Linked DNA regions of Caenorhabditis elegans. The protein of the gene in region 1 purifies or fractionates together with the protein of each later gene. This does not show direct contact. Each region holds a gene or a part of one and is shown in the gene's direction. Other genes may lie near its edges.

What was found. Proteins that work in one complex are often made in the same cells at the same time.
Region 2: the proteins of ipmk-1 (region 1) and tsfm-1 fractionate together in Caenorhabditis elegans (co-fractionation; one large-scale study listed by BioGRID). This does not show direct contact.

What each region holds. Positions count from the first base shown.
Region 1 is NC_003282.8:12,544,632-12,555,714, forward strand, and holds ipmk-1 (Kinase), read left to right. Parts: upstream 1-3,492; 5' UTR 3,493-3,500; coding exon 3,501-3,606; intron 3,607-4,331; coding exon 4,332-4,402; intron 4,403-5,816; coding exon 5,817-5,902; intron 5,903-5,958; coding exon 5,959-6,041; intron 6,042-6,692; coding exon 6,693-6,868; intron 6,869-7,399; exon of another isoform or gene 7,400-7,574; intron 7,575-9,058; coding exon 9,059-9,329; intron 9,330-9,374; coding exon 9,375-9,475; 3' UTR 9,476-10,050; downstream 10,051-11,083. Other genes in the region: Stork-head box protein ham-1, read left to right, coding at 267-699.
Region 2 is NC_003283.11:12,268,295-12,275,062, reverse strand, and holds tsfm-1 (Elongation factor Ts, mitochondrial), read left to right. Parts: upstream 1-3,511; 5' UTR 3,512-3,513; coding exon 3,514-3,597; intron 3,598-3,655; coding exon 3,656-3,801; intron 3,802-3,882; coding exon 3,883-4,310; intron 4,311-4,356; coding exon 4,357-4,649; 3' UTR 4,650-4,792; downstream 4,793-6,768. Other genes in the region: capg-2 (CAP-G condensin subunit), read right to left, coding at 1-296, 683-1,110, 1,155-1,619, 1,693-2,074, 2,118-2,828, 2,875-3,179; twk-24 (Potassium channel domain-containing protein), read left to right, coding at 5,753-5,881, 6,369-6,657. UniProt on the Caenorhabditis elegans protein: Associates with the EF-Tu.GDP complex and induces the exchange of GDP to GTP. It remains bound to the aminoacyl-tRNA.EF-Tu.GTP complex up to the GTP hydrolysis stage on the ribosome.

The sequences.
Region 1 (11,083 bases):
TTTTAAACTTCAAACTTATAGGAAAATACATTTTTAAAAACATTTTCTTAATTGACAATTTTTAATAAATCAAAAAAACGATGGTTTTTGTATCAAATTTCTCTAGCAACTAACAAGATTTGCTCTATGACGCCATAATTAGCGCACATACAGGAAACCAGATACGGTCAGTAGTGTTGCGCGAGACGCGATGCGGCACTGCCCGTTCTCTATAATTAGAGTCATCTGCTATTTCTTCACTTCGGTACTTTCATACCTAATTACAGGTACCCGACTTATCATCACGATCTCAACGAAGAGTGTCAACGGAAGGCTCGAAGACGTAACCACCCCCGTCGTGGCGAGACCCAAAAGCTACTCTCGTCTAGTTCGGAATGTCTCAAGTACTATCCAGTTGATATGCCAGAGACCCGACCGACTCGTCGAAGGGCCCGCATGGCTTCACCACTCCGAAGTTCCACACCGAACAACTCGGATTCGGCCTACTCGATCTCTCCACCACATACCGATTCAAATGAGGAAGCTGGCAGTATCAGTGATTCGGAGATCAATCACACATATATCAATATCAACAAGTTCCGCCGTCAGAATTTCGATTCCACGCAGTTTGAGGATCTGACAGGTGCCACAGCGACAACTTCAGAGGAGCCCGAGATTTTGGGACGACACATTCGAGGCGTCCTGATCTCCAATTTGTAGATTTCATACTTTTTTATTTGAAATTCTTGGTAAAACTTTTCAACCATTTATTTTTCAAATTATCAAAATGTTTAGCTATAGTTCCACAAACACATCAGAATCCAGTGAAATTTTGTTTTTTTTCTACTTCTATTTTTACCCTTACAAATAGAGTTTGTTAGCGCACTTTTAAGCCCCCACCCATCAAAACGTGTCTTCTTTGTTTTCACCCAATTTCATACTTTTTTTGTTACACTTTCTGCGTCTCTTCTACTCCATGTTGGAGTTGTGTCTATGTCTCTTCTCCCAATTCTATTTCTCTTAAATTTTCCCCATACACCCCAAGTTTTATCCTGTTTTAATGTCATTTTTCTATGAAAAACTGTTTTATTTTTGCCCGGAAAATAAATATGGGACTAATTTACTTTTATTAAATTGCCACGTAGCTTTTGAACGGAATATCCAGAGCGTGCTACTGATACGTAGAAAAAATAGAAAAGTTTTTAGGCTTTTTAATTGGTAATTTTTGCTTTTTCTTCTGGAATTAACTAAGAAATTCCAAAAATTCCAAGAATATTCAAACTCCTTTTTCTGTTTCCCAATTAAACTAGTCACGCGAATGTTTACGCCCGTTGGTGATTTCCTGTTCTCTCAATAGTCCAAATGTCTTCGTTTTCCGGAGCAGGTGGTTTAGGATTTTGAACAGGAGGTTGCAGCCTCATTCACCTACCTACCAAGAAAGGGAGGGATTACACAAGAGAATCATTGGGATCCCCGAGTTTTAATTAGTTTTCGTAATTATTACGCAATTTGTTTTCGCTTTTTAGCACTGTTTTCGGGAGCTTTACGGATCATAAATGGATTATGGGCAAGGAGCAATATCCCGAGTTTTTATGGTAGGATTAGGAGGTCAGGTGAGGGTGAGGTGGTGAATGTAGGGAAATGTTATGATAATTTGGATTAATGTAGTCACAAAAGTACGCAATCATCTCCCAATCATAATATCAAATTGCACAATCTTCGGTACTTTTGAGTGCTGTAGTTTCAAAAAGACACCCTACACAATAGGCCTGTGCATTTTGTCGTGAACTATGGTGCATTGAAATATATATATATATATACTATATAGTGCGTTTTTTTCAAAGATACCGTAGTCATATCAAAAATTGCTAATACAACAAACTACTGTTCAGCTTTTTAGATAATTTCTAGCAATTTTCCCTAAAAGTACTGTAACCCCGAAATCGCTTTTTTTTTAATGGAGACTTTACTTTAAAAAATTTTGGGTACTGTAGGTACAAAAACCCAGGCTTACCAATCTTTTTAAAATTGTGCTTTTTTCTTAAACTGTAAACAGTATTGTGAAATTTATAATTTTAGGGTTAAAATTTACCGGAATTTTTCGTTTTTTCAATTGGACCATTATTGCAATTTTTCACAATATCTAGTTTGTGAAATGTCTGTTTTCGAATATTTGTTGTGCCTGGTGACTAATTTGTCCAAGTATATTTCCCAATGTCAGGTGTAAAAATGATTTCATATCTGTTTGGTTTTCACCATGTTTTCTCTAAACAATCTCTCTTTCTCTATTGTTCATAATTTCAACTTTGTTTCGGTCTGTACGTACACAACCAGCGACATATTGAAACATATGTGCGCTCGCGATTTCTTTTTGTATTGCAATTCTTCTATAAGCCTCTTACTTCAAGAGAGAATATCTCGGTTGTTTTTAGTTGTATCAAAACGTTTTCAACTAACAAACTATTTTTTACTTCTTTTTCTATCGTTCTGTAATTTAATCGTAATAGATCTCTTTAAAATGAACTGAGATATTGGCAACCAAAGTGGAGCCATTTCTTGAAATTTGTTATGATTTTCAAGAAAATTGGACGCCTACACAAATAAATTGTTGTTTGCTCTATTTCTTATCAACAGCTCAAATCACAATGAACTCAATAGACATTGCACTGAAAATTGCAAAAATTCATTGCTTTTCCTGAATTTCGTCGGAGCACTTTTCTACTGTTTCATATCTTCATCTTAATAGTTGTACAGCCTCCATTTTGCTCAGTTCCAATCGTTTACCCAAAAATTCAAATAATACATTTTCCTAATGATAACTTCCACACCTTCTGGACACCTCTCGCATTAATTACATGTTATGCTCTATTTTTCTTCTGCTACGTGTGCTCGATATAACTAGAATTTTGGGAACATGTGTGCTCGGGTCGCTTTCACACACTCTTACCGACTGGCAGGATATCTTAGACACCCTCTTTAAAAGATACACCCAATGTAGGTGTGTATTATGGATGAATGAGGGTTATTGGATAGTCTAAATAATACAAAAGTGGGTTGATTTGTAATGGTAGTTTTTAAAATAATTTTTTTAAAGAAATTTGCCAGGAGGGCCAATGAAGATTCGAGTGGGAGCCATCTCCTAGAACTTGGGTTATGTTCTGAAATTAGATTTTTTTAAATATAACTTTCAACTCGTTCAGGACTATTTATCGTGTCAATATATACCTTTTTATTTATGATTTATCTAATCTTTTTGTGTGAACCGGCCCACTTCGCCTGCCATGAAGAATTGGAATCGATTTTTTAAGGCTCTAGTTGAACATAGTAGTTTTTTTTCCTTTTGGATTTTTTTTGGCAAGATTTTTTTTTGATTTGATAACTCATAACATAGTTGACATTAACGTTATAAAAAGTTGGGAATTTTCAAAAAGTTAGGTTTTTGAAATAGTTGCATTATCATAACTTCAAATAATCTTTTATCAGTCTTTATGAATTTTTCTAAACCACATTAGTTTCCAGATATGAGTGTGCTATCAAATGACGGGCTCCCAGAAAAATATCAATGGTTTTCGGATCAAATTGCTGGGCATCATCCGTCGGTTATCAAAAATGGGAAAAGAGAAATTGGTAAGTTTTTAATTTTTTTGAAGTATTTACTTTGAAAAATTCAATTTCTAATCACTTTCTGCTCTAAGTAGTTAAAGTAAGCTCCAGATAATTCAAATTCAAAAATTCTCCGAAAAATCCAAACATTTGAAAAAGAGCCCTAGGTGTGGTGGCTCATCTACAGCTGAACAAACAAAGGGAGTGCTGGAAAAACAAAAGGATATAGACAACAAGTCGTTTTGTGGCTAAGAGAGAGATTAATCGCACATTATTATGCAAATCGGAGCAAATAGGGTTCCAATAGAGGGCGGATGTGTTTGGAGGCTTTGAACTGTGGATAGGGGTTATGTTTAGAGTTTACTTGTATTTGAACTTTGAATTTTTTTCACAAACTTCTAGGGCAGAAAAAAATGCTACAAATTTTTTTTTGAAGACTTTCAAAGATTTTTAAGCAGTGTCAAGGTAGGCAAATTCTGGAAGTTGTTAACTATTTTGTTCAAATTTTTGACCTAACTTGATCAAAAAAAAATGACCCCGCGAATTCAAAATTTTTAGCTCTCTGAATCCGGGAAAACGTGATTTAGGAGAAATCTAAATTTCATACTACATTAAAATAGAAACCCATTGAGAATTTTTGGAAAATTTCGGTAGAAATGAACAGATCAAAGATGAAAATTTTCAATTACATATGCACATGGCAATTACCATTTTTCAGAAAAAAAAGATTTAACAAAAAAAAGTTTCAGGTCTTCTAAAAATCCCCGGGTCCCGAGAAATCCTCAAACCAAAACAAGATGCGTCAAGAGGAGAGAAAGAGGTTGGTTTGACTGTTTCCAGTTAAATTTGATTTTTTTTGTAATCATTCTGAAATCTACTAAACTACAGTACCTATAAAGGTATCATCTAACTATATATTACATGTACATGTCTCTCTCACATCCATATGACAATACTGATGACGTCACCCAATCTCATCATCAGTTGACACGGAAACGTGGCATGACGCAAGCTTCTGTCCAGACGTTTGGTGGGGGAAGTTGTTGCGATGGAAAAGGACACCTGTGACCATGAAAATTATGACATATGGAGAGAAAAATAGAGGACACATAAATAACGGGCTTGGTGGGAAAATGGGAATGGGTTTCAGATAACATTGGAATTTTTCCCAAGGGTTTGGACGGGGGTGGCGCAATAATACTAATTGGTACTAATTTACACCATTTTTTGGTATTTTTTAATAAGCATAGTTTACAAGGGGTCAAATTTCTTGTACGTTAGGGAAAGGTATGAATGGGCAAGCTCAACTGTTTAGAAGTTGTAAAAATGAATTGCACTGGTACATTCAATAATCCTTAGTTGTAAGGCATTTGATTTTGGCAGTATCAAATTCGTTTTTTGAATAGTTCTAATTGCTTTATAGATCTGGTGTAACATAATTCATTGAAAATTCAAGTTATAATTTTAGTCCGGAGATCTATTGTATTAATTTTACATTGAAATGCAGGCATGCCTAACAAGAAAAGTTGGTACTCATCATAGCATCAACAGCAAAAAAGTCACCCTTCTGCCTCCCACAGTATATAGTTTCAAGTGTACCTTCTCCCATAGTAACTCCTTCCGGAAGTCGAGTAGATAATGATACTTGGGAATTTGGTAAACTACAGTAACTAAATATGTGAGAAGAGTACTCAGATGATTGATTAGTTACGTAATAGTAGCATTGGGGGAGGGGTGATGATCCGGGTGAACATGTAATGGAAGACAAGGGACTTTTGTGATTCACCCTTAGAATGTTTAACTTATCAAAGATATAGGAAAACTTCTAAATTTTTCCCTGACCCTGAGTTCTCATGTTAAAAATCACAAAAAATTCACGGATTTTAAATTTTATTTCGGATGAAAACCAAAAACTTCAGTTTTGAAACTACTGTAAATTTCAAATTACAATTTTTGCCGCCGGAGACCGGATTTTTCCACAGATGTTAACTTACGCTAAAAGTATATCAAAAGGTCAAAAATGACTCTCAACAGTTGCAGTTTGTAGTGGGAGATTTTTAGGAAAAATGCAAAATTCTCCACCCAAAACTCAGGAAAGATTCATATCTGACACATGTCCATTACACCGAATTACTCAACTTTTCTCCGCTCAAATCATCCGGAAACTAAACCTTGAAACCAGATAGATAACCATCTTAACTTGCTTACGCAAGAATATCTAAATATGCTTCCAGGTTGCCTTATACGAACTCCTACGCTCGTGTACCACTTCACCGTCTACTCCACCAGAATCTACTACTTCAGATGAGTTACGTAAACGGTTAGTTGATTGACATCATGTCAAACATCGCATTGGATTTGAACCGGATATTGCAGGGTACGAATGGAAGATATCGAGATGCTCTGCAAGTTGACTGCCGACTTTTATGGAATACAGACCATTTTTGTCGATGGGCAAGGTGAGGGACTTTTTGTAGGCAAATTGGTTTATAGTTTGTAGTTTGTAGTCAAGAGTATGAAGCTTGTAGTTGCACTGGTCTTTGTTTTTTTTGGACATATTTTATTCACCCCATAAAATTTGATGATCTCCATCTCTAAAAATTATTCAAATTGCGTCCACGGCGCCATCCTGCCATATGACAGATGTTTTTTTTTTTCATCAATTCTTCAAGCGGTATAGGTTCAGAGGTGTCACACGCGTGTCCTCATCATCATTTTACCCCCTACCAATTTCCCTTTCATTCTGATAAAATGGGTAAAACGATGAGACCAATTTGAATGCGATCCATTTGAATAAGATGCGCGTGCTGCGAACAAAAAAAAACATAGAAGGTTTGAAGATGGGGGAACAAATTTACATTTTTATGACGTGCCAAATTGCATGGGGAAATTGACTATTTTGAACTGAAAGCGGGCAGTTACTGGGTGGATTTAGATTTGGAAAAATTGCGGGATTTTGAAATTATTCTGCTTTTAGGGAGCTCTTAAACAGCATGAAAAGTATTCCTAAATTTGAAATTACGAGATTAAGTTACTAAAGTTACACAGTTTTGAGCACATTTACATACTTGGTATCAAAAAGTTTCAGCCTAAAAGTCACTATTTTCCAGACCGCGAGTTCCTGGCAATGGAAGATGTGACAATTGGCTATCAGAGACCGGCGATACTGGATCTAAAAATGGGACAAGTGACCTATGATCCAATTGCAAAACCAGAGAAAATTGAAAAAGAACGAATCAAGTATCCGCCACAGGCCAAGATGGGAATGCGGATTCTTGGATATAGGGTGGGTTATTTTCTGATATGTTTTGAGGTGTACTGTAAGATTTTTGCAATGACCGTTGCGTATGTTATTCCAATATTATGTATCTGTAAAGTTACTGTAATATTATTGTACCTCACTCTTGAAGGAAGCCTTGTAAATAGTACAGTAGAGTACTGTAGAAATACTCCAACTGCGAATCTCCTAGTGAAGGTTACTGTAAGGATTTGAAAACTGTAGTCTTTCAGATGATACAGTACAGATCACTTCAATTTTTTCTGTATCTTCTCGTGCAAATAATGAAAGATCGTTGTGCCTGTCAGGAGGTCAGGGAATACTGTATTAATACTTTAGTATTGCCTTTATCAACAAATTTCGGTAGTATGAATATTTTTTCCGTTTTCAAATGATAGCCGCCAGCCGGTGACTACAGTACTCATGGTAATCCGTGTCTAATCATTAAAAATTCAAAATCTCTTTGTCTTCCCAAATCTACCCGGAACACACTGCTGTCATCATGCTCAAGCACTGGGGGTTAATCGTCTATTCTTGACTCCCGCATACCGCCAGTTTTTGAACGGGTCTTTTCCCTGTGTCTCTCGTTATACACGCTATTTTCCGGCGGAATCTAAGTGTTGCAATTTGCGAAAAGAATGCCGAATGCTCACAGATGGGTGCAATTATACGATCAATTGTGTCATTGACACTCTCGAAAAGGTACAAGTTCCGATGAATGTTGCCGGATGGCTGACAGCTGGGAAGGAATTGGTTTTTTGAATGAAAAATGAATTGATTTTGTAAAGCGGAAGTTTGCGGGGAGTTAAAATTAATTTTTTGCAATAAATTTATTTAAACTATGAATTTCAGACAAATTGATTTTGAGTTTATTAGTTTAGGTTGACTGAAAGTTCAAGTTGATATATCTATGTTGTTTTTACAGTTAATTGTAAAAATGTTTAGCTTTTTGTTTTCTATACTTTTGTAATTTACAACATTTTTTTTAGCATTCAAACTAGCCGAGATAATAAGTTTTAAACTAGGTCCATGGTAGGCAGGCACGACTTCAACCCTATGAACATTTTTATGTGAAACGTTTTGATTTTTACACTGAAAGTCAGGCATGCCTATTAAGAAAAGTTGGTGCTCATCATAGTATAACAGCAAAAAAGTATCCCTTCTGCCTCTCACAGTATATTGTTTCAAGTGCACCTTCTCCCATATTAACTTCCCCCGGAAGTCGAGTAGATAATGATACTTGGGAATTTGGTAAACTACAGTAACCAAATATGTGGGAAGAGTACTCAGATGATTGATTAGTTACGTAATAGTAGCATTGGGAGAATGATCAGGTGAATGGAGGTTAGGAATTCTTGTGATCATGGCCAGAAAATTCTAAGCTGTCCTAGCCAGAATTTAAGATAAAAAATTCCAAAACTTTGTAAAATTTTTTAAACTACAAACTACAGTGTTTTCAAGCTGAGCTAAACATATTCTGTTACAGTCAGCAGCTCGGAAATTATATTTTATTCAGCTTTTCTGTGCATCCTAGTTATTATTCGAACACATCTCATAACTCTTGACCTTCATGCGTTGGCAAAAGAGAAAGGGATCATCATCTATTAAGTGCTTGTATAACTTGTTAATCTGGTGCACAAGTGTTCCGTGCACTCTTCCTTTGATACCGTAGTTTACAGCCACGTGGCAAGTTCTCCGATTACCTAATCAGAGAGACCGCGCGAGAAAGGAAGAGAGAGGCGGCACAATAAATGGGCCTATCGTATTACATTAGGGTCACACCTGTTCGACATGGATAGGGAAGAATGAAGAAAATGGAAGAATGTTTGAAATTCTTCTAGGATTTGAGGAATTGGAGGTGGAGGGACTTAATATGTACAGATTTTGGAGTTGGGGATTATTTTCACAATAGTTTTGAACCGAGCCAGACGAGTGCTCAACTTTTAGATACCGCCACAAAAGCTCGGATTACGGTAGCAAGAATTTTTTGGCGCGAGACTCAACTTTTGCAAAGTTTGTTTTAACAAAAAAAAACATCTACATTCATCTTAACTTCAACAGATTTCAGTTCATGTTTAAAAAAGTTGGGTCATACCACAATACACTCAAGATTACTGTGACTAGCTTTTGGTGGCAAGACCTAATTTTTTTTCAAATTCCAGAAGAAAATGATTATACTAAAATTCAAAACAATTTCAGATCCATCGCTCCGACAATCAAGTGGAGGTGCGAGACAAAGACTGGGGGAAGTCTTTCGACGAAACCACTGTTGAAACCGGGCTCCGCGAATTTTTCTCGGCAAGATCTGAAGCTGACCTGAATCAAGTTCTTCTGGAGGCCCTGGACAAGCTGAAAATTATCAAAAACTTTTTTGAAACCCAAAGATCACTTCAATTCTTTGCTTCCTCACTTTTATTCGTGTTTGAGGCTGATAAGGAGTTGCCGATTAATATGAGAATCGTTATGATTGGTAGGTATCAATGCGATAGATTTCAAAAAAATAGTTTTTTTCCAGATTTTTCTCATGCATTTGCATCGAGTGGGGAGCCAGACAATGGATATTCATTAGGAATTCAAAATCTTGAAAAGTTTTTGAATAATATTATTTCTTCATAGTCATCACTGATCGAGTATTCAGCAAAAATGTGTTCGTAAATTTACACCATCTCAAGCTCATATCTCCGTTGGTTTTGGTGATTTGCAAAAATTCTCAAGTAACACAACTCTTGTTGCATATTTTTATATACTTTTGTAGTTGAATGCTCACTGATATTTCTAAAATAACCTGAATATTCGGTGCTACAGAAAAATACTATTTATATGAGACTCTCTGATCCAAAAAAATTTTAGCTGCAATTTTTTTCGAATTTTTAATTTTTACGTGTCATCCACCCACATCGCTTCCCTCCAAAAAAATCCCGTTTTCTTGCTTTCCTGTTTTGTTTTTTTACGGCTAACTTTAAATATTTGTACTGCTTCAAAGTGCTTTTAAAGTTGACAAAATAATATCTTCCATACTGTAGAACTTGGATGTGTTCCATATTAAAGAATATTAAGAATTCGACAAAAAAAAACTTTGATCATTCAATATTCCACCGTTTCTAGATGCGTTCAAAGGTTTTAAATTTCAAGATTTCAACAAATCTAGTTCCGTCAATATGCAATATGCAAGTAACAACGAAAATTTTAGTATTTACTACAAAAAAGTATTCAAATCGGTGTAAATTTTCAGCAGTTTGCTAAATTTGCTAAAAAATAAAGTTGCAAAATTGAACGAAACAAAGCTTCGAAGAAATTTAATATTTCAAAATTCTACTGTTTCAAATATTATTCAAAGCCTACCAATAATAATTGAAGTTTAATCACATTGAAAATTAGGAACGGTCAAAAACAATTAATTTCAAGAGATAAAAAATTTGGAGCTTTTACTGTTTCAAATTGCATTTAAAGTATACTAAATTGAACTATAAAAAGTCTGTTTCACTTCCAAAGTTATGAAAACTGTAGTAGTAGAACAAAGGAAAATGTTTAAACTCCAACAAAAAACTTTGAAATTTTACCGTTTCAATATGTACTTAAAACCAACAAATATTGACTCAACTCATTACAGTAACACCGGTCGAAAAAAATGTTTTCTATAAATTTTTACTGTAATTTGGTTTCAATTATTCGTATTAAAACATTGTAGGTACCGGAACATGCGACACTTCTTTGGATTTCCTCGAAAGCTCATATTTTTGAAAATTTTGGCAATTCTCCAAAACTTTGATCGGAAATTATGGGAAATCTAAAATTTTTTGGAAATTTTTTGGAGTGTTTATTATGATAATCGGTCTGTTTTGGTACGTTGTCTCAAAACTTCCAACGATTTTCGTGTAATCTTTTCTTGATGAATATATTTTATTTCGAAAAAATAAATTATTAAATTAAAAGTTTCCGTTATTCCTCGTACTTTTGGCCAATTTTTTTGATATTCTGAAGATAGATCAGTAAAATTTTGATCTAAATTACTGTAGACTTACAATTAAAAATTTCCAGTACCCCAACTCCAACCATTGAACTGAACCTTTCATCTGAAAAAAAAGTTCAATAAAATAATTTTCTTATAGTTAGCACCATACCTTTTAATTCATTGACACGGGACAACAATCTGTGAGTTTTCCCAACTCTGAAAAACTCCACAAATGTATATGATGTAAGCATATCATTTTTCTTACTTTAATT
Region 2 (6,768 bases), on another chromosome or scaffold:
TAAAGTGATGCATCATACGTTTAGCTGAATCTTCGTCCCAATAATCAGTTTCAGAAACTCTCTTGTGAAATTGGCGTAAAGATTCCACAATTTCTCGATGATTTTTAAAAATGTTCTCTTCATCATCTTCCATCAAATCACATTGCTTATTCATCCATTTTGGAATAAATCTGAGAAGAAGTGCCATTTCGTGGTGCACTTCAGAATAAGATTCGTCGCACAGCGTTGTGCCCACTCGAAGAGCTGGTCGGAAGATTTCAAAAGGTGTGGAACTATTACAGAAGGACTTGACGATTCTGAAAAATAAAAATGATATATGACGTCTTATAAGACATTTAGAATAACTTCACTGTTATTCTATCAAGAAATGAAAACCTGTGGTTAAATACCGAGTAGCGACAGTGGGCATATCGTCTAAATACACCGAAGATTTTTAAGTTCTTCAAAATTTTTAGTTCAAGAGAAACCCATTTTTTGGCTTCCATAATTATTAAATAGTGAAAAGGATATTAATGAAGATTTAAGACAATCTTATTTAAAAAAAAATTTTTTTATGATATTCGACCATTTTTGTATGGGAATCGTTGTTAGCAATTTTCCACTGGCGTTGCTCCATATTTAAATCCCTTTCTTAATAAATATATTTCATTTCTAAAGAATTAAGTCTTTCGTATGACCCTACCTGCTTATAACTTCTGCTACCGTAGCCTGATCTTTCGCTGCATCATTTTCTTCTCTTGGATCCCGATTCTCGTTATCTTCCTCATCTTCAAATTCGACAGGTCTCGTTTTGAAATCATACGCAGATAGTGACACGTTTACACAATTCAAGAATGTACTTGTTAATTGAATGAGAAAATCTTGATTGTGTTCACCAAAAGTCGCCATTTGACTTGAAATATTTTTTTCAAACCAAAGAAGAAGGTTTTTCATTGACTCGATAGTTTGGTTACGATCCGCAGCATCTTCAGATCCATTAGTTGCAGCGAAAAAGGGCAAAATGAATCTAAATTCGAGTATCGACAGAAGAACATCATCACTGAGAGTGTGCTCCTGGCCTTCTTCTTTTGCAAGCCTAATTTCAATTCCTTCTCGAATTAGATCAATTTTCTAAATATAATATTATTGTTTCAATAATGAACTAATACACAAACCTTCAACAAATCCAAGACTTTAGTTCGGTATTCATCTTTCATTGCAATAAGATTTGATGTACTGTGACTCTGTAGCAAATATTTGAGACGGTTCAACGTCATAATCAGTACATCTTCTGGATCCTCCAATTCACGTCGTTTCTTCTTACTCTGTTTCGTTCCATACAAATTTACAAGAACATTAAGCCCACTATCGAATGAATCAAAAACAGAATCCGGGTTGAAATGAATTGCAGATTCAAGAAACGGCTCAACTGCTTCTGGAGGAACATCGTCGTCTTCCAGTCTTGCGAGAACATCATTAGCAATTGATTTAAGGTAATCTTTAGGAATGACACTGCTGATTGCTGTCGCAGTTCCGAGAATAGGAGTGTTGGCGTATTTTTCAAATATTTCCTTGACAACTTTTCCAAATATTTGATCACATTTCGCTTTTGAAGTTCCATCGCCATCTGACATCAGCATCTGAAAAAGTTTAGAAGTTTATAATGTTTTAAAAAAGGTCTTCAATTTTAAATTTGAGAAATAGAAAACTAACTCCTTTGCATGACATGTACAGAATGAGAGCACACTCAAGATAAGCTCTCGCTTTTTTGTATCCTTCGGCAGTCTCTGGTAATGGAGGGCCATCCTTTTTACGAAGATAACGATATGCCCAGGTTATAAACATTTCGATAAGTTTGGATGCTTGGGATGCATCAATGATTTTCATTGGGCCAAGCAATCGGAAGTAACTCAAAAGAGCCAATCGACTTTTTCCTAACATGTAGTTGACACGAGGACGATAGTATGCTTCATCCAGACTTTTCGAGATAGGAAGACAAATATGCATAATTGGAATCAGTTGACGGCGGCAGGTCTCTACGTTTTCCAGATCGAGTTTCGCAATGGCATCATCTCGAGTAATGATATCGAACACACTGAAAATTTATTTTTTAGTTTGTTGATTTGGGTTCATTTTACCTAATAAATTTATGATTCTTCAGACGAGAAATTATTTGGTAAGCAGCAAGACGAACTCGTTCAGATTTATCCTGTAGTGCTGGATCAACGGCACATTTCAATCCATATTCGAATGCTGTGAGACATGCCGGAACAAATGCCATTTCATTAAGACCTTCAAAAACGGCGACGCGGACGCTGACAACAGTGTCTTTCGCGACTGTATCAATGATGTATCCCATGAGTTCCTTCACGATATTTTTTGGAATAAGAAGCCAGAATTCGCTGATTGCCTTCAAGACATGTTTCGTGGCTTCGCTTCGAATGGAAATAACATCACTACGTAATAAGTCCATCATATATCGATGTTGGTTTTCCATTATCCTATCCATGTCTTCAGTATCCTCGCCAATTAGTGGGTAAAAATTGAAAAATACTTCTGCAGCTGATGACTGTACAATGTAATTTGGAGCGTCCAGCGCTCGGTAAAGACATCCATTGAGAAGCCTTGTCACCATTTCATCTACACTTTTGTCCAGTTTTTTCGCGTGTGCAAATGCGGCAATCACATTTTGAAATTTAGTGCAGGTAGGCCTGTGAGCATATAATGCATGCTGACACATGACACTGATCACATCGGTCTCCAATTCCTCTGTCAAATCAAAGTTAGCCTCCTGATATGCATTTCTCCAAGCTGTGACGAATACTTCACCATACCTTTGACATTCAGTGCTGCAAAAATATATATAAATGGAATTCTTCAGCGTATAAACTTTACTCGGTGAGATTGAACTTTAGTATTAACTTCTCGAGTAGTATCAGTCCATTTCCAACACCAATTTTTGGGAGAATTTCAGCTGATAATTTTATACCTTCCGGACAAATCAACAAGGCTGGTGCGAAGAAAATACACCGAAGAGTCGATGGATTTGCATTGGCAATAATATCTTCTTGAACTGCCCACAATTTTCTGATGAATGTTTTCTGAAGAGCCCGACCTCCTTTTCCACGGAACTCTGTGAGTAACTCATTCCAGTCTTCTGATGGTTGTTTGTTAGGTGTTACCGGATTGCTCTTCGGCATTGATCTCTTTACTGAAAATTTCTATGGAATTATAGAATTTATTTCAACAAAAAAATAGCAAAAAATAATAGTATTAAAGTTTTCACCTAAAAATAATTATAAATAATCAATAAAATAATTCAATAATATAATTTACCTCGCAATTAAAAAAAAAGAAACACATTTTCCTTGTTATGTTCAAAACGAATTCTTTCGCGCGGCCGTCTTTCTCATTGGGGCGCACTTGCCTTTTCATTTTTTAATGCAAAAAATGCCCAGAAAATTGCATAATTTGCTTTATTCTCTTAAAATAATTATCAATATTGACTGAAAACTAAAGTTTCCAATTTTAGAAATGTTTGCTAGAGCTCCATTTGTACGTCTACTATCAACGACTAGTCGAAACTTGGCTGAGGCCGAAAAGAAAGTCTCTAAAGAGGTATTAAAATCTAGGAACCCTAATTAATTTTAAAAAATAAAAAATAATTGTTTTTCAGGCTCTAATGGCTCTTCGAAAAAAGACTGGTTATAGTTATGTGAATTGTCGTAAAGCACTTATTCAGTTTGGCGAAAATGATATGGATAGTGCTGTAAAATGGTTGAAAGAAGCTGCAGCGAAGGAAGGATGGGCCAAAGCGGCAAAGTAAGTGTTTATTTTGAAATTTTTTTAATTTGGAATGTTGACTTCACAAGGAATTATTTTAATAGTTATAGAATATTCCAGACTTGGAACTCGTGTAACATCGAATGGTCTTGTATCTGTAGTCACGGACAACTCAACAGCAGCTGTGGTAGAACTCAGTTGTGAAACTGATTTTGTGGCGCGATCTGGAGCTTTCAAGGATTTGTTGTCAAACATCTCCAACTCTGTTCTCGCAAAAGCTAAGCCACAATCTATATCGAGCGGCTCAAAACTTCAAGAATTCACCTATGATCTTGGGGATCTGACCGATTCCGACGGAAAAAATATGCGTGAAGTGCTCTCCCTTTCAATCGGAAAGCTTGGTGAGAACATGACAGTGAGAAGAGTTAAGGCTTTTAAAGCTCCCGAAGGAACAACTTTGTTTGGAGCTTCACATCCTAAAGATGGAACTGATGATATCCCGATGGGACGGTTCATTTCACTCATCGCTCTAAATCAATCGAGTCCAGGTGAAACAAAGAAATAAAGTAAAAAATTAAGTCTTAACATTTACAGGGTCAATCAGTAGTCAGCAACTTGCCGGACAGATATGCCAGCACATTATCGGAATGTCCCCGGAATCCCTCGGCGAAGCTGCAGAATCTGTGAAAACTCAAGAAGGGCTTCGTAGTCAAGAAGGGCATGATCCAAATGCTGATCCAGTTGTTGTAACTAATATTGATGAATCGGAAACTGCTCTTCTCCGCCAAGCCTTCATGTTGAATCCATCTCAATCTGTTCATGAGTACCTAAAATCCCACAATGCTAACATTCTCGATTTTGTTCGTGTAGAGCTTGGAAGCGAATAATTAGATAAAAGTGGTAGTAACTTTATTTTCATGCCTTATTAGTTTTTAGAATGCTTTTGTTTCTCTGTTTTGTTAATCGATAAATAAATTTATCGACATATAAATTGAATTTAAAGTTTAAAAAATAAACATTTGCAATTTTCAGAACATTCCTCCGTGGAAAACAATTGAACAAGAAGACGATTAAAATGCATTTATTTTATTTCAGAAATTCATGGTCACTCGGATTTCTGTCGAAATCAAATGTATTTTAAGGTCACAATCCGCGAAAATTTAAAACAATTGTTGTAATATAGTAAAAATACGAGAAAACTGCTGAGAACACTCAGAAAACATATATATTTTTGGGGTACTGTATTGGTACTGTAGGAGTAATTGGTGATGTAGGTGTACTGTAGTATCACTGAGCTCTTTGTTGAAACATGCGATATTGTTCTAAATTGTATCGTTCTTAGATTTGGCAATTTATCAAGACAATCTGAAACAAATATTGTTGCTGAGTCTGTTACTCTTGTTCCAAAACTGAAGGGACTATCTTGGTCATTATCATCAAGTTAGACGGTTTCAGTTCCATTGACATGGCAAAAAATACGAAAGATCACCGAACATTCCTCATAGTTTTATATTCCAGATGTTCCCATTTCTCAAGTTCTCATACCACATTCCAAAGGAACACAACTCAACAAACCCCAATCTTTCTTCTTCGGTTTTCTTCTCAAGCTTCCTCATTTCTCATCGTCATTTTTCCTTTTCATCATCAAATGTGTATCAAGACGTGACGCCTATGTGCTCTCTTTGAGAGAGCACCGCTGTTGTAAAGGTAGAAGTAAAAGAATACACAAAGAGAATATCATGCGTTTTGCGTTTTCTGCTGTTTTTTTTTCGCCCGTGTCTTTCTCTCCTGCTCCTGTGGGATTCTTTGGGAAATTCACACTCTTCTCAAGATAGAGAAAAGATAATGATAAGAGCATTCTTTTCCATCTCTCTGTGATCCAATTGTTTTTTGTTTCTCTAGAGTTCATTGATTTTTATGTTATTACCACTTCCTTATCATCAACTTATCACCTACTTATCCTCTCATTGTTTTTGTTTCAGAAGGTGATATGAATGGAACCACAAAGAAAGATGATAAAATTGTTGCTGGAAGGAGCAAAAGTGCAGATAGTAAATGGAAAGATCGAATGAATCGAGGTCTTGGAAACATGTCTAAAAGTTTACCCAGTTTTAATAAGGTACTTACATCATCTAGGAAACTTACTGTAAGATGTGCATTTAAGTTCTTTAGAGCTCAATAAGTTTTTGTACTCACTTATAATAGTTTTGGAAATTGACCAAAAATAAATTCTTTTTAATTTTATAATTTACTAAAATAGTTTAATTTATTTTGTTTCAATATGGAATGTAGGGTTTTATTATGCAAGAAAGCTCTAGATTTCTGAAGAAGTCAAACATTTGGCAAAGTGCCAAAACCTTTGGCTGAAAAATGCGCATAAACAAAAATCTTTTTTTCAGTTTTAAATTTAAATTTAAAATTTTTTTAAACTTTTAATATAATAATGAACATAATTGGCACAAATTGAACCACCTTCTTAATACAATTCAGATAGCAACACATAGTGTACGTTCATCAAATCAACAGCTCTCCATAGTAATAGTTTTTAGCAGTCTAAATAATTACTCCATCTGAGAAATTCAATTTTCTCAATTTCAATATTCCAGAATGCGGCAAATGCAAAAAGTGATAAAACAAGTGATACAAAAGTAGTAATTGAAGATGAATCAAAGAAAAAGAAGAAAAAGAAGAAGAAGGATAAGAATTTAGATGTGGAAGAACTTCCACAACAGGAAGATCCAGAAGTACTAGCTGCAAAGGAAAAAGAGAAAAAAGCAAAAGTAATGATTGCAAGTAGAGATGCTCGAAATAAAACCATGTGGAGACATATTGCATGGCTTGTTGTTTTATTCTCTTTTTCTTTATTTGGAGGCGTCATTTTCAGTGCTATCGAAGGTTTGTAGTTTTTTTACATCAAATTTTTAGTAAAAGTATTCTAGAAAAAAACTAATTTTCTTATTTGATCTTCTGAACTCTCATAATTCATTGTTCTCACACATCTGGTTC